Linked DNA regions of Canis lupus familiaris. The protein of the gene in region 2 purifies or fractionates together with the protein of the main gene of each other region. This does not show direct contact. Links are inferred from orthologs where the notes say so. Each region holds a gene or a part of one and is shown on either strand. Other genes may lie near its edges.

The links. The genes of interacting proteins can lie anywhere in the genome.
Region 1: the proteins of SLC25A5 (region 2) and LRRK2 purify together in Homo sapiens (co-immunoprecipitation; 3 studies listed by IntAct, with this or other methods). This does not show direct contact. The link is inferred for Canis lupus familiaris from reciprocal best matches to the Homo sapiens genes SLC25A5 and LRRK2.

Annotation. Positions count from the first base shown.
Region 1 is NC_049248.1:33,248,782-33,254,439, reverse strand, and holds part of LRRK2 (leucine-rich repeat serine/threonine-protein kinase 2), read right to left. Parts: intron 4,711-5,658; coding exon 4,523-4,710; intron 3,478-4,522; coding exon 3,323-3,477; intron 1,739-3,322; coding exon 1,592-1,738; intron 1,447-1,591; coding exon 1,255-1,446; intron 1-1,254. UniProt on the Homo sapiens protein: Serine/threonine-protein kinase which phosphorylates a broad range of proteins involved in multiple processes such as neuronal plasticity, innate immunity, autophagy, and vesicle trafficking.
Region 2 is NC_049260.1:92,201,219-92,207,578, reverse strand, and holds SLC25A5 (ADP/ATP translocase 2), read right to left. Parts: upstream 4,024-6,360; 5' UTR 3,936-4,023; coding exon 3,825-3,935; intron 2,818-3,824; coding exon 2,331-2,817; intron 2,104-2,330; coding exon 1,963-2,103; intron 1,579-1,962; coding exon 1,421-1,578; 3' UTR 1,170-1,420; downstream 1-1,169.

The DNA of each region.
Region 1 (5,658 bases), on a different chromosome or scaffold from region 2:
TTCTCTAGAAAATCTGATAAAGCGTTAAAGGTTCAGTTAACACCTATGCACTTGGAATGTTACAAATTCATTCCTAGGTTCACTCATTAGAAATTAGAATTCAGAACTTCCTTAGACTGACATCTGTCTAAGAAATCATCTACTCTCTACTTTTACCACATATGTGGGGGCACTTGTTACATGGTTAACAAATTGCTAAATTATTTTTATGTATCATCCTATTATATTTTTTATGCAAGTATAATTAACATACCGTGTTATATTAGGTTCATGTGTACAATATACTGATATACAATATACATTTCTCAGTACTCATCATGATAAATGTACTCTTAATCCCACTCACTGATTTCATGTGTCTTTCAACCTACCTCCCTTCTAGTAATCAATAGTTTGTTCTCTGTATTTAAGGGTCTGGGTTTTTTATGTCTTCCTTTTTCTGGTTGTTGTTTGTTTGTTCTGTGTTTTAAGTTCTAAAGAGTGAAATCATATGGCATTTGTCTTTGTCTGAGACTTACTGCACTTAGTGTTATACCCTCTAGGTCCATCCATGTTGTTGGAAATGGCAAGATAGCATTCTTTTTATGGCTGAGTAATATTCCAGTGTGTATGTATGTATATATTATATATATAGTGCATATATGTATGTATCTATGTATGTGTATCCCACGTGTGTATGTATGCACACATATATGTATACACACACACATATATATACACATACTACATCTTCTTTATACAGTCTCCTATCAATGGACACTTGGGTTGTTCAACAACACTAATCATCAGGGAAATGTAAATCAAAACCACAATGAGATATCGTCTTTCACCTGTCAGAATGACTACAATGGAAAACAAGAAATAACAAGTGTTGGCAGGGATTAAAATAAAAAGAACCCTCACATGCTGTTGGTGGGAATACAAATTGGTGCAGACACTGTGGGAAACAGTGTGGAGGTTCTTTGAAAAATTAAAAATAGAAATACCATGTGATTCTGCTTATTCCATGACTATTTGCCCAAACAAAAAGAAAGCACTAATTCAAAAAGACATATATGCACCCCCTATGTTTACTGCAGCATTATTTACAATAGCCAAATTCTGGAAGCATGTATCATCTATTTTAATCCTCATAACAATTCTATGAGGTAGGTTCTAGTATTCTTATTTCATAGTTGAGGTTATGTTGCCCAGTAGGCCATTGAACATTGAAAGGATCACTTAAAAAATTTGAAAGTTTTACATCAATACTACCTTCTTCTGCTTTCTTCATCAAGTCGTCAAGTAAGATTTTTTGATGCTCTTCACCATCATTAAAACTATATAATGCCCATTTCTTCAACAGAGTTTCTCCTTCACCACAAATATCAATCTCCAGCAATCCAGGAAACCATTCTTCCATCAGAGAATCAATGTGATCCACAACTTGGCCCAAAAGAATACAGCCTACATGATCCAAAGAAGAGCTCATCAACACCCTATCTGAACCTTATTCTGTTGCAAAGCTAGAAAGAGGGACTACAAAGTTTGAAAAAAAAATGTTTATATTTCTTTAGTGGTACAATTCAAAGTTTTGAATTAATTTCCTTACCTTTTCTACAAGAAGGAACTGTAATTTTTAAGAAACTCTCTGGGTGATTGTCTAAGACTTCAGATCCTACCAGACAATAAGCTTCAGGAGACCAATTCAAGTAGATGCCTTGTCGCCAATACATTCTGTTTGGGCGAAGTGCTCGTTCTGAAAGAAGTTTAAATGGACCCAAATGTATCCATTAATTATGAACTTCATAAATTAAAAGAGCAGAAAAATCACTGCAAATGCCACAAGTAAGTAATAGAGATACATATGTTTTGAAACAAAGTATTGGAATTGTTAATGACACAACTACTCATTCATATCTATTGTGCATGAAATTAAGTATTTTAACCTCAATTTTGCAAGGCAATAAAATAAAATGCCCAGTAGGTAACCTAAAAGATAGTTCAGATTCATGATGTTAAAATAGTTTGATATGCTTAATAGAATAAAAAGAATCATAAATAAGTAATCATAACTTCCATTTTTTTTCTAAGAGAGAGTGTGCATGAGTGAAAGGTGGGAAAGGGCAGAGGGAGAAGGAGAGAGAGAATCTTAAGCAGGTTCAATACTGGGCTGGGCTTGATCTCACAAACCTGAAATCATGACTTGAGCTGAAATAGAGCCAGTTGCTTAACCAATTGAACCACTGGCACCCCAAATTCTCATAACTTTTAAAACTCTTAAAAGGAGGTTGGTTGTCACACTAAAATAAAAACTTCTGGAATGATTTATTTTAATGTGATGTAACTACCTACATATTGATTAATTGCAAGCAAAATAAGGTTTATTTCAAAATACAGTAACACATGCATAAAGCTGATTTTTAACTCCCCCCCTGCCCCGCCCCCCAAAATGATATTTTTCCTTTGGAGCACTAGTTCTCCCTTTCTTCAAGAAGGAGGAGCTAGCAATATAAAGACCCATTTTTTCTAAAGATTTTATTTATTTATTCATGAGAGACAGAGAGAGAGAGAGGCAGAGACAGGCAGAGGGAGAAGCAGGCTCCATGCAGGGAGCCCGACGCGGGACTTGATCCCAGGTCTCCAGGATCAGGTCCTGGGCCGAAGGCGGCGCTAAACTGCTTAGCCACCAGGGCTGCCCTAAAGACCCATTTTTAATCAAAAAGATTATAAAAAATATAAAAAATATAAATATAAATATAAATAAATATAAATATAAATATAAATAAATATAAATATAAATATATATAATATATATAATATAAATATAAATATAAATATAAATCCCTCAGGAATTGCACAGCAAGAGAGCTTTTAAGTCTTTACAGTGAATGGTCTGAATGGTCAGAACCTGTTACTTTTGTTAACTAAGACTCTCTGGCTTTGCAGTGATAGTCACTTGTAATTTTTCTTTGTTCATTTGTGTGTGTCGGTTTACACGTGTGCATGTGTTTAACACCAGTGAATCCTAGTAATCTTACCTTCTAAAACTGTTGCTTCTAGTCTACTCTAGCTTGGAAAGCAAGATATTCATACTTATTATAAATGTGTCTAAAATAAAAACAAATACGCTTTGAGTGAGGACTTAAGAAATTTCCTTCTTGACAAACTGCATGAACTTAAATGAGCCTATGTGTCCTTATCCTGGCTACTCTGAAGTCCTATAAGCTTATTTTCTGATTTTCAGTGGCCTTACAAATACATGAACTCTGTGAAAATGACATGTCAATTTTAATATGCTTCCCCCCTAACTTCTCAAATATTGACTTCATTAAATACATACCTCTTCCTGAAAGCATGTAAGGTGAAATTTCAAGTAATCGATTGATTAACCTCGACCAAAATCCCATTGGAAAATAAGGCATTTCGTATAGTCGAATGATAATTTCAGAGTTCTCACAATGGGGAAGCTCTATCACAGGCCTGTGATCAGACAAACTAAAGAGAAAAGGGTATCAGCATTACATAGCTACATAAAAATTTACCCAACCATGTTAACCAGAGTGCTTTACTACTTAAAATCAATGAGTCGAAGATAAATATTGTAGGCAATTGCACGTTTTTATAATGTTCTTTTGCTACATGACCTTCCTTCTTCAAAAATTCAATGGCTATTTAGTCAATTCAAATACATGCTCAGATGCATTTTTTTTCAGTAATCCCATTTATACTAATAAATAAATTATTACAATTAGTTATGCATAGACAGGTTTTAAGGGATTATATAAAACTCGAAAAAATGTCATGTCCTAGAAAAAAGTGTACATGTATTTTTAGAATTGAATAGCATCTACCAATCAATGCAATTTGCACTTTTCAATGTCATATACCTTATAACATTTCCCAGCAATAAGAAACTATAAAGCAACAAGAAAAATTTCTATAATACAGAGCTAGAACTTAGGCCTTCATTGTGTTGCCACTCTCTGAAAATTCACTGCCATAAAGTCATCTGATGAGGGACGTCTGGATGGCTCAGTGTTGGGCATCTGCCTTTGGCTCAGGGTATGGTCCCAGAGTCCCAGGATTGAATCCCCTGAGGAGCTTGCTTCTCCCTCTGCCTATGTCTCCGCCTCTCTCTCTGTGTGTCTCTCATGAATGAATGAATGAATGAATGAATAAATAAATAAATAAATAAATAAATCCTTTAAAAAATAAATTCTGATGAAAACGCACTATCCTCCAGAACCTAATATAACTCCCTCAGTACCATTTAAAGACACACACACACACACACACATATCACTATTTTCCTTTCTTAAGTAATTCAAGTAGTGGTAAACCAAACAGTAATTACATACATAAAACAAATCATTTACTATACCTTTGAAGTGTCAAATGTAGTGTTTTCATTAAAAATAAATGTTACATTTCAGTAGAGAGTGTACACAAGAAGCAAAAAAATTAATACATTTATCATAAACCAAAGTTATTTTGACAATTAAAACATATAATAGATGGTGAATTTCCAGTTTAGGTTTACCTGCTTGGAACCAGCAAATATTCTTCTCCTATTGGCAAGGCAATCTGGAATTTTTCTAGCAGTTTAAAATACTGTGACATGTAGTTCTTTGGAAATCTCTTTTTCTTTGAAAGAAATTTTTCCACATCTCTACGTGAAATGATTCCCTTAGGATGTTTTGGATAGCCTTCCACTTTCACTGTCAAAATCTGAAAGATTTAAACTCGTAAATAATCACTAGAATTCATTCTCTGAAAAGTGTTTAATTTAAAGCATTTTGTGTCTCTTTGCTATTGATATGATCAAAACAATTTAATGTTGTCAAGTGTAACAGGGCACCTGATTTCTCTACTAGAAGCCCTGTAACCAGAAGCCCAGTAGGGCAACCATTCCTCCACAAAAAAAAAAAAAAATTAAGAGAGTGAATGCAAATCAAATATTATAGAGATCCTCTGCAATCAATGAATGTTAAACCTTCCCCAGCTCCAATTAACAAATCAATCCAACACCCTTCATCCTTATTATAGCCTCATCAACAATATATTTATTGGGAAATTATCCTCTAGACTATGTTCTCATTACAGGTTTGCCACAGGTTTGCCTTAGAAATGTTACTTGAGCATAAAGGAAAACGGTTTCCATCAATAGGAAGAGAGGCAGTATGTGGTACAGGTTAGTGATTCTTACACAAAGTAACTACAGAATTTCGCTGGACTCCAGATGGAGCCTGGATCAGTAGGTCTGAGATGAAGCTTGAGAATGTGCTTGTTTAACAAGAAACTCCGATGATTCTACTATAGAGACCATACTTTCAGCTTTGACCATCATCACAGAAGTTAAAAGTATTAACTTCAGAAGAACCCAGGTTCAAATCCATGTTCTAGTACTAGCTGCGTTATCTTGAGAAAGGTATATAATTTCCTTAAGCCACAGTTTCAATCAGATCAGATAATAAAAGTGACTCACCCTTAGACTGTCATGACATTGAAATAAGATAACATACAAAAGGCATGCAAAGTGCATATGACAATTTTTAGCTTATAGTAAGCCCTCATATGTTAGCTATTACTATCTACATATTCCTATTCATTTTACTTAGCCAAATGATTTTTTTAAGTTTGTGCTTAATTTCTTTACTCGATCTTTAGCATATAAGG
Region 2 (6,360 bases):
GAGCCATACTGAGATCCTGGTGCTTAGCCAGGGGGTGTGCAACGAGCACCTCCCTTAGGTTCCCTTGGTGTTGACTCCCCACCAGGCAGACCCTCCCTGCCCGTGAGCTGCACTTAAACATGCCAGAGTGGGTGCTGTTCCTCAGCAATGGGTTTCACCTGGACTCACGGATCACCCATCATTCTACTTCCAGGGTTACTTCTTGACAGCCATGGCTTTGTTCTTCAAACCTCAGGTTACAGGCGAAATCCACTGAATTTCTGGGGCCTCGCCAGGAGCTACAGAAACTGTAAACCACTTCTCATGTGGATCCCGGGTAAGGGCTTATCCAAAAGAAATAAATGTCCTCCACTGACCAGGCTTATTAGCATGTCTGACAAAACACAGCAGTGGCTACATTTCCTCTTCTTTATGGAATGAGTTTTGAGGTGGTGGCAGTTGTCTCGCTCCCTCTGTAATCTTGGCCAGCACTGCAAAACAGTGCCAGCTCTAATCCTCTACTTTGAATGGGATTAAAATGGAATGGGCCAGGTAAAAAATGAATGAGGGAAGGCAATTGGATGAAATGTTGCTATTATTACCTTATATTTTATTATTTTTTCCTCTTTAGATAAAATCCATACAACCATCATTTTAAAGTAAACAATTTAGTTTACATTTCCTGATTAATAATCACAGGACCTGGAAAGGTGGGTACATAGTCCTTTTTGGAGAAAGCTCAGTTATGATCCTCCACAGGCAATGGACTTGTGGTTTTGGATACACTGGGCCAGAATTTCCTTTTGCTATTTTTTGTAAGAAAATATTTATTAAAAAAATTTTATTTATTCAAGAGACAGAGAGAGAGAGAGGCAGAGACATAGGCAGAGGAAGAAGCAGGTTCCATGCAGGGAGCCTGATGTGGGACTCAATCTCAGGACCCCAGGATCACCACCTGAGCCAAAGGCAGATGCTCAACTACTGAGCCACCCAGGTGTCCCTCCTCTTGCTATTGTATTGGAATATTGATGGGTCACACAAGCAAGGTATTCTTTGAGAAGTGAAGGGCTAAGAGACTGGTTTGAAAAGAAAGCTCTCTACCTCAGGAGGTACTATAGCATTTATTAAACATGTAACATTTACTCAAATGTAGCACTCGCTTGAATATGTAAATTAAGTCAGAAACAAAATATACTTCAGATATTTTTTATTTCTTCAAATTTATTTATCAGGAGTGACTGAAATAAAAAATATAATTGAGTCCCATCATCATGGAAATGGCTTTAAGAGAAAACTGGTCAGATGAATATTATTGCTTCCCATTTTCAACCAGTAAATAGTTGCCATTGATAAACAGACAGCCAGCAGTCTGTCAAGAATGCTCAAGATATGTTATATAATACAACATGCCTGTTCACAGGGGGAAAAACTAGGAAATAACTTATGTGAACTTCTTGATTTCATCATACAATACAAGCACAAAAGCACCACCCATGCCTCTGAGAACATTGGACCATGCCCCCTTGAAAAAAGCTTTGCCTCCTTCATCACGGGCAATCTTCCTCCAGCAGTCGAGCGTGCCTGTGTACATGATGTCAGCTGCAAAGAATAAAGACACGGAGTTGGTGACCAAAGGCTGAGGAGAGTCCCAGGATTTACTAAACTGGAGCCCCGCCTCCAAGAATGAATGGTAGTTCTAGGAAACCCAACATTTTGCACATTTCATGTGGGCGATCCTGAAATATTAATGGAGTGAATAGAGAACAATGGGGCTATGTATGTAGACTACTTATTGGTTTTAACCTCTATTATCATTTAAGCACCCTCATTCATAGGCATCCAAAGGGCCCACAGAGGGGCGGACACAATCAACCCCATTCTGGCCATTAGAACAGACTGCATTTTTAAAGTCAGGCATCACTAGCTTGTGGCCACAGCCTGTCAAGGGCCGCATCTTTATCTTTTTGCTCAAGTGGAACTTACTTCCTTTGCGCCCTGACTGCATCATCATCCGGCGACGAACAGTGTCAAATGGGTAGGAAGTCAACCCAGCCACTGCTGTGACGGATTGTGCGATCATCCAGCTGATGAAAATGTGAGTATTCTTGGGATCTGGAAGCATTCCTGAGGACAGGAAAGAAGATGCTTTTACTAGAAAGCAGAGTTTCAGTGGCTTGTTGATTTCTACACCCCATCCCCATCCCCACATCTCATCTGTACACTAAGTTTGCACTAGGTGACCATGACTTCCTACAGCAATTACAGAAAATCTGTGACTCTGGAAAATGAGAATGGTATTAATGATCTTTTAGATGAAAGAAACACAGCTTCGAAGCACATGGCAAGCTTACCCTTTGCAGTGTCATAGATACCGAAGTAGGCAGCTCGGTAGATGATAATACCCTGCACAGATACGTTAAAGCCTTGGTACAGGCCCCTAATCCCATCAGACTTGTAGATCTTAACCAGGCAGTCACCGAGCCCTCTGAATTCTCTTTCAGCTCCAGCTTTGCCCACATCAGCTGCTAGACGGGTTCGGGCAAAATCGAGAGGATACACAAAACACAAGGATGTGGCCCCAGCGGCGCCACCTGACGCCAGGTTCCCTGCAAAGTAGCGCCAAAACTGGGTTCTCTTGTCCACACCACCCAGGAAAATCTGCTTGTATTTATCTTTGAAGGCGAAGTTGAGAGCCTGGGTGGGGAAGTATCTGATGACATTGGCCAGGTTACCACGCCAGAAGGACAGGACTCCCTGCTCCTTGGGAATACGAACCACGCAGTCTATAATGCCCTTGTATTGCTTATCTGCAGTGATTTGCTTGCTGGCGTGCTGCACCTGAGAGACAAGAAGGAGGCCAACAGGGAGATTTACAACCACGGAGAAGGGGAAAAAGGAAGAGTATTATCCTGTCTCGCTGACCGCGCTTTAAGGTTTGCTACTTCCCGAATCTAATCTTCTAGATCCTAACCCTCTGAGGCCATCACCGAGGAAGTGCTCAGCACCCTTAGAAGGCATTAAGCCTCCGCCCCTTCGGGTGGGGAGGGGGCACGCTGGGGCGGACCCGTGACCTTTAGACCTGGGAGAAAGGTCATTACCTCAGGACCAGGTTCAGAGGCACCTGGGCCTGTCCCACGTAGGGCGCGGCCACCGAGGTGACCGTGTCCTAGGCCTCGGGTCCCGGGAGCTGCTTCCCTCCGGCTCCGCCCCTGCTCTCTCCTAGAGGTGACCCGCGGGCCACCACCCCTGCGCCCGTGCGGGCGCGCCCTCTAGAGCCGGAGCGGGCGAGAGCGCGACGCAGGGAGGCGGGCGGCGGGGACGCGCCGGCGGCTGCGCGGGGGCGGACGCAGCAGGCACACGCGCTTCCCGGCGCCGGCTTCCGGCCCCGCGTGGGGAGAGCGCGGCCGCCGGCAGCGCGGCCCCTCGACCTGCCGCATGGCCTCCGCGAGCCCGTTATCCCCTTGCCGCGACCTTGAGGCCTTCCGCACGGCCGGGCGTCCCTCCCTCCAGCACCTGCTTCCAGGCTTCGCCCTTGCCCTCCGCGCCCCGGGAAGACGGCCACTGCCGGGCCGCCCCCTCCCAGCTCGCGGTCCCCGGGATGCCAAGGCCCTGGGCCCCCTCGCCTCCCTGCGCCCCGACCGCGTCGTAGCTCCAGAAGTTCGGGTCACTAAAGCGCCTCCCTCGACTTGGCCTTTCGGCCCGCCTCCTCCGCCACCCCTGCCCGCACCGGGCCGCTTGCCGCCCGTCAGGCCGAAGAGTTGGCCCCCCTCCAGCCCCGGAACAGAGGCTTTCCGCGCGCCCCCTCCCCCACTTCCTGGGTCGGACTCTCCAGTCCCGGGACGTACCTGCAGCAGCAGCTTGACCCGCTCGATGGGCGCGACCGCCGTCTTGGAGATGGCAGCGGCCACTCCACCCGCCAGGAAGTCCTTGGCGAAGGACACAGCGGCATCTGTCATATTGAAAGGAACGAGCCGGGCGCCTGCGGGACTGCGGTAGGAACCGGCTGGGACTCCGGGACTCTGGGGCGGAGCGACACAAATGGCCGATTTATATAGGGCGAGCCGGCGCCCGGGCGGCCGGCGTCGGGGGCGGGCCGGGGCGGGCCGGGGCGGGCGCCGAGCCCCAGCGCGCGGGCCGGCGGGTGGCTGAGTGGCTCGGCGCGCGGGGGGCGGAGCCGTGAGTCGGGCCGGGGCCGCCCTCCGCGCCCGCCGCCTGCCGTGGCACCTGACCTGGCCCCGGGACCGGCGGCCCCAGGGGATACCCGGGCCCGGCAGCTGGGCTCCGGGAGAGCCCTGTGAGTGGGGAGGGCGGGTGAGGTCCTGGCGTGCCCGCCTAGAGACCTCTGCAGTATTTAAGGGGACGCCGACAAAATCTCGGCAACTAACAGAAATAATATTTAATGCAGTGTCTCTAAAAAGGATGTGGGCAGACTACGCCTGTCGCCTGTTTCTGTTAATTAAGTTGAATTGGAGCCCCAGGGTTGGGAGTAGGGTGAGGCCGTAGAGGCAGGGTCCTGCCAGTGCAGGGTGCGATCCTGTATTTTAAATTTTGAGAATTTGCTCATCATGGAGTTTTGCCATACTTTTTGACTTTTTAAAAATGGTGCACTAAAAATGGTCTGCTTTGATGACTGAGTTGTTTGGCACCTCTTTGGTGCCCCTCATTCTTTTCACTCTAGACCTGGCACTGCTCTGGAGCTTCCCCGGTGAAGCCAGAGGAAATTGAGGGAACAGCAGAGTTGGGACACTGTCAGCGTGCCCCAGACTCTGGTTTGCAAAAACTAACGCAAATCTTACCCGAAATTGGCGGAGGAGAGTCCAGAGGACTCGGCTGGGGGTGGGAAAAGTATTTTAGCCATAAGCCAAATAAAGAGGTTGTACCAGGAAGGTTAAGAGGCTGTGTGAACCAGGTTGGCATTTAGCTCCTTGGACGCAAAGTAAAGTGCTCTTGGATTGAGTAGCTCCTGAACTCCAGAAGCTTTTAGAGGAATCAATAGAATTTGATTGACAGCCATTGTGTCAATGGACAAGTGCTTAGTGAGCCCCTTAATCCCTGCAGTGGGTAAGCATTTGCCAGACAAGTCCTTAAAAACCTACTTGCCAGCTTGAGTGCACTCTCTTGGGTTCAGAACAGTAGCTGGGAATGTAATCACATATCATATATCTAAGTAATCACAACAGTGTTTATGGAAAATGAGGATACTGTTGCAGACTGCAACTGCTGCGGATGGGGAAGTGCCCAGCACACTGAAGACACGCAGGCGTATTCCTCCCTTTCCTTTTCTGCCTTTTCCCACCTTCTCCGGATCTGCCCATGGAAAGGCCCAATTCTAGGGTTCCTCTAGGAACATCAGGTCCTTCATTTAATGATACTTTGCATTTTGTAAGTCTTCCCAGGAATCTGAAGTGGTGAGCACACGCTGAGAGAGTTGAAAGAAGAGCAGTCTTGAATCCAGCTTTGCTGATCCTGGGTGAAATCTTGACCTGTGATCATGAGAAGCGGCTCTGTTTCTCATTAGTTGATTAGAACGGTGATGCAGCTGGATACAGAAATGACCTTGCTGTAGAGTTTCGGTGATGAAGTATATTCTCTGAAAGTGATAGTGAGTCCTCTTACCTTTACTGGTGAGAGAATTAACAGCCGAAACAAAACTCTATGGAGCATTTTATTTAGAGGGAGGTGGTTTTTTGTTTAATTTTATTTATTTATTTATGATAGTCAGAGAGAGAGAGAGAGAGAGAGAGAGAGAGAGGCAGAGACACAGGCAGAGGGATAAGCAGGCTCCATGCACCAGGAGCCCGATGTGGGATTTGATCCTGGGTCTCCAGGATCGCGCCCCAGGCCAAAGGCAGGCACCAAACCACTGCGCCACCCAGGGATCCCAAGAGAGGTGGTTTTTATTTTTTTTTATTTTTTCTTTTTTTTAAATGTTTATTTATTTATGATAGTCACAGAGAGAGAAAGAGAGAGAGAGAGAGGCAGAGACACAGGCAGAGGGAGAAGCAGGCTCCATGCACCGGAAGCCCGATGTGGGATTCGATCCCGGGTCTCCAGGATCGCGCCCTGGGCCAAAGGCAGGCGCCAAACCCCTGCGCCACCCGGGGATCCCGAGAGGTGGTTTTTAGAATGCATTTCAAACTACAATTCAGGGATGCCTTGGTGGCTCAGTGATTGAGCTTCTACCTTCTTTCTGCTTAGGGTGTGATCCTGAGGTCCTGGGATCAAGTTCCATATGGAGCCTCCTTCTCCCTCTGCCTGTGTCTCTGCCTCTCTCTCTCTCTGTCACTCATGAATAAATAAATAAAATCTTAAAAAAAAGAAGCTACAATTCAGAACCTTTCCAGTTTGAACTCTTGGCATTCTGATTAATGCATTTTTATT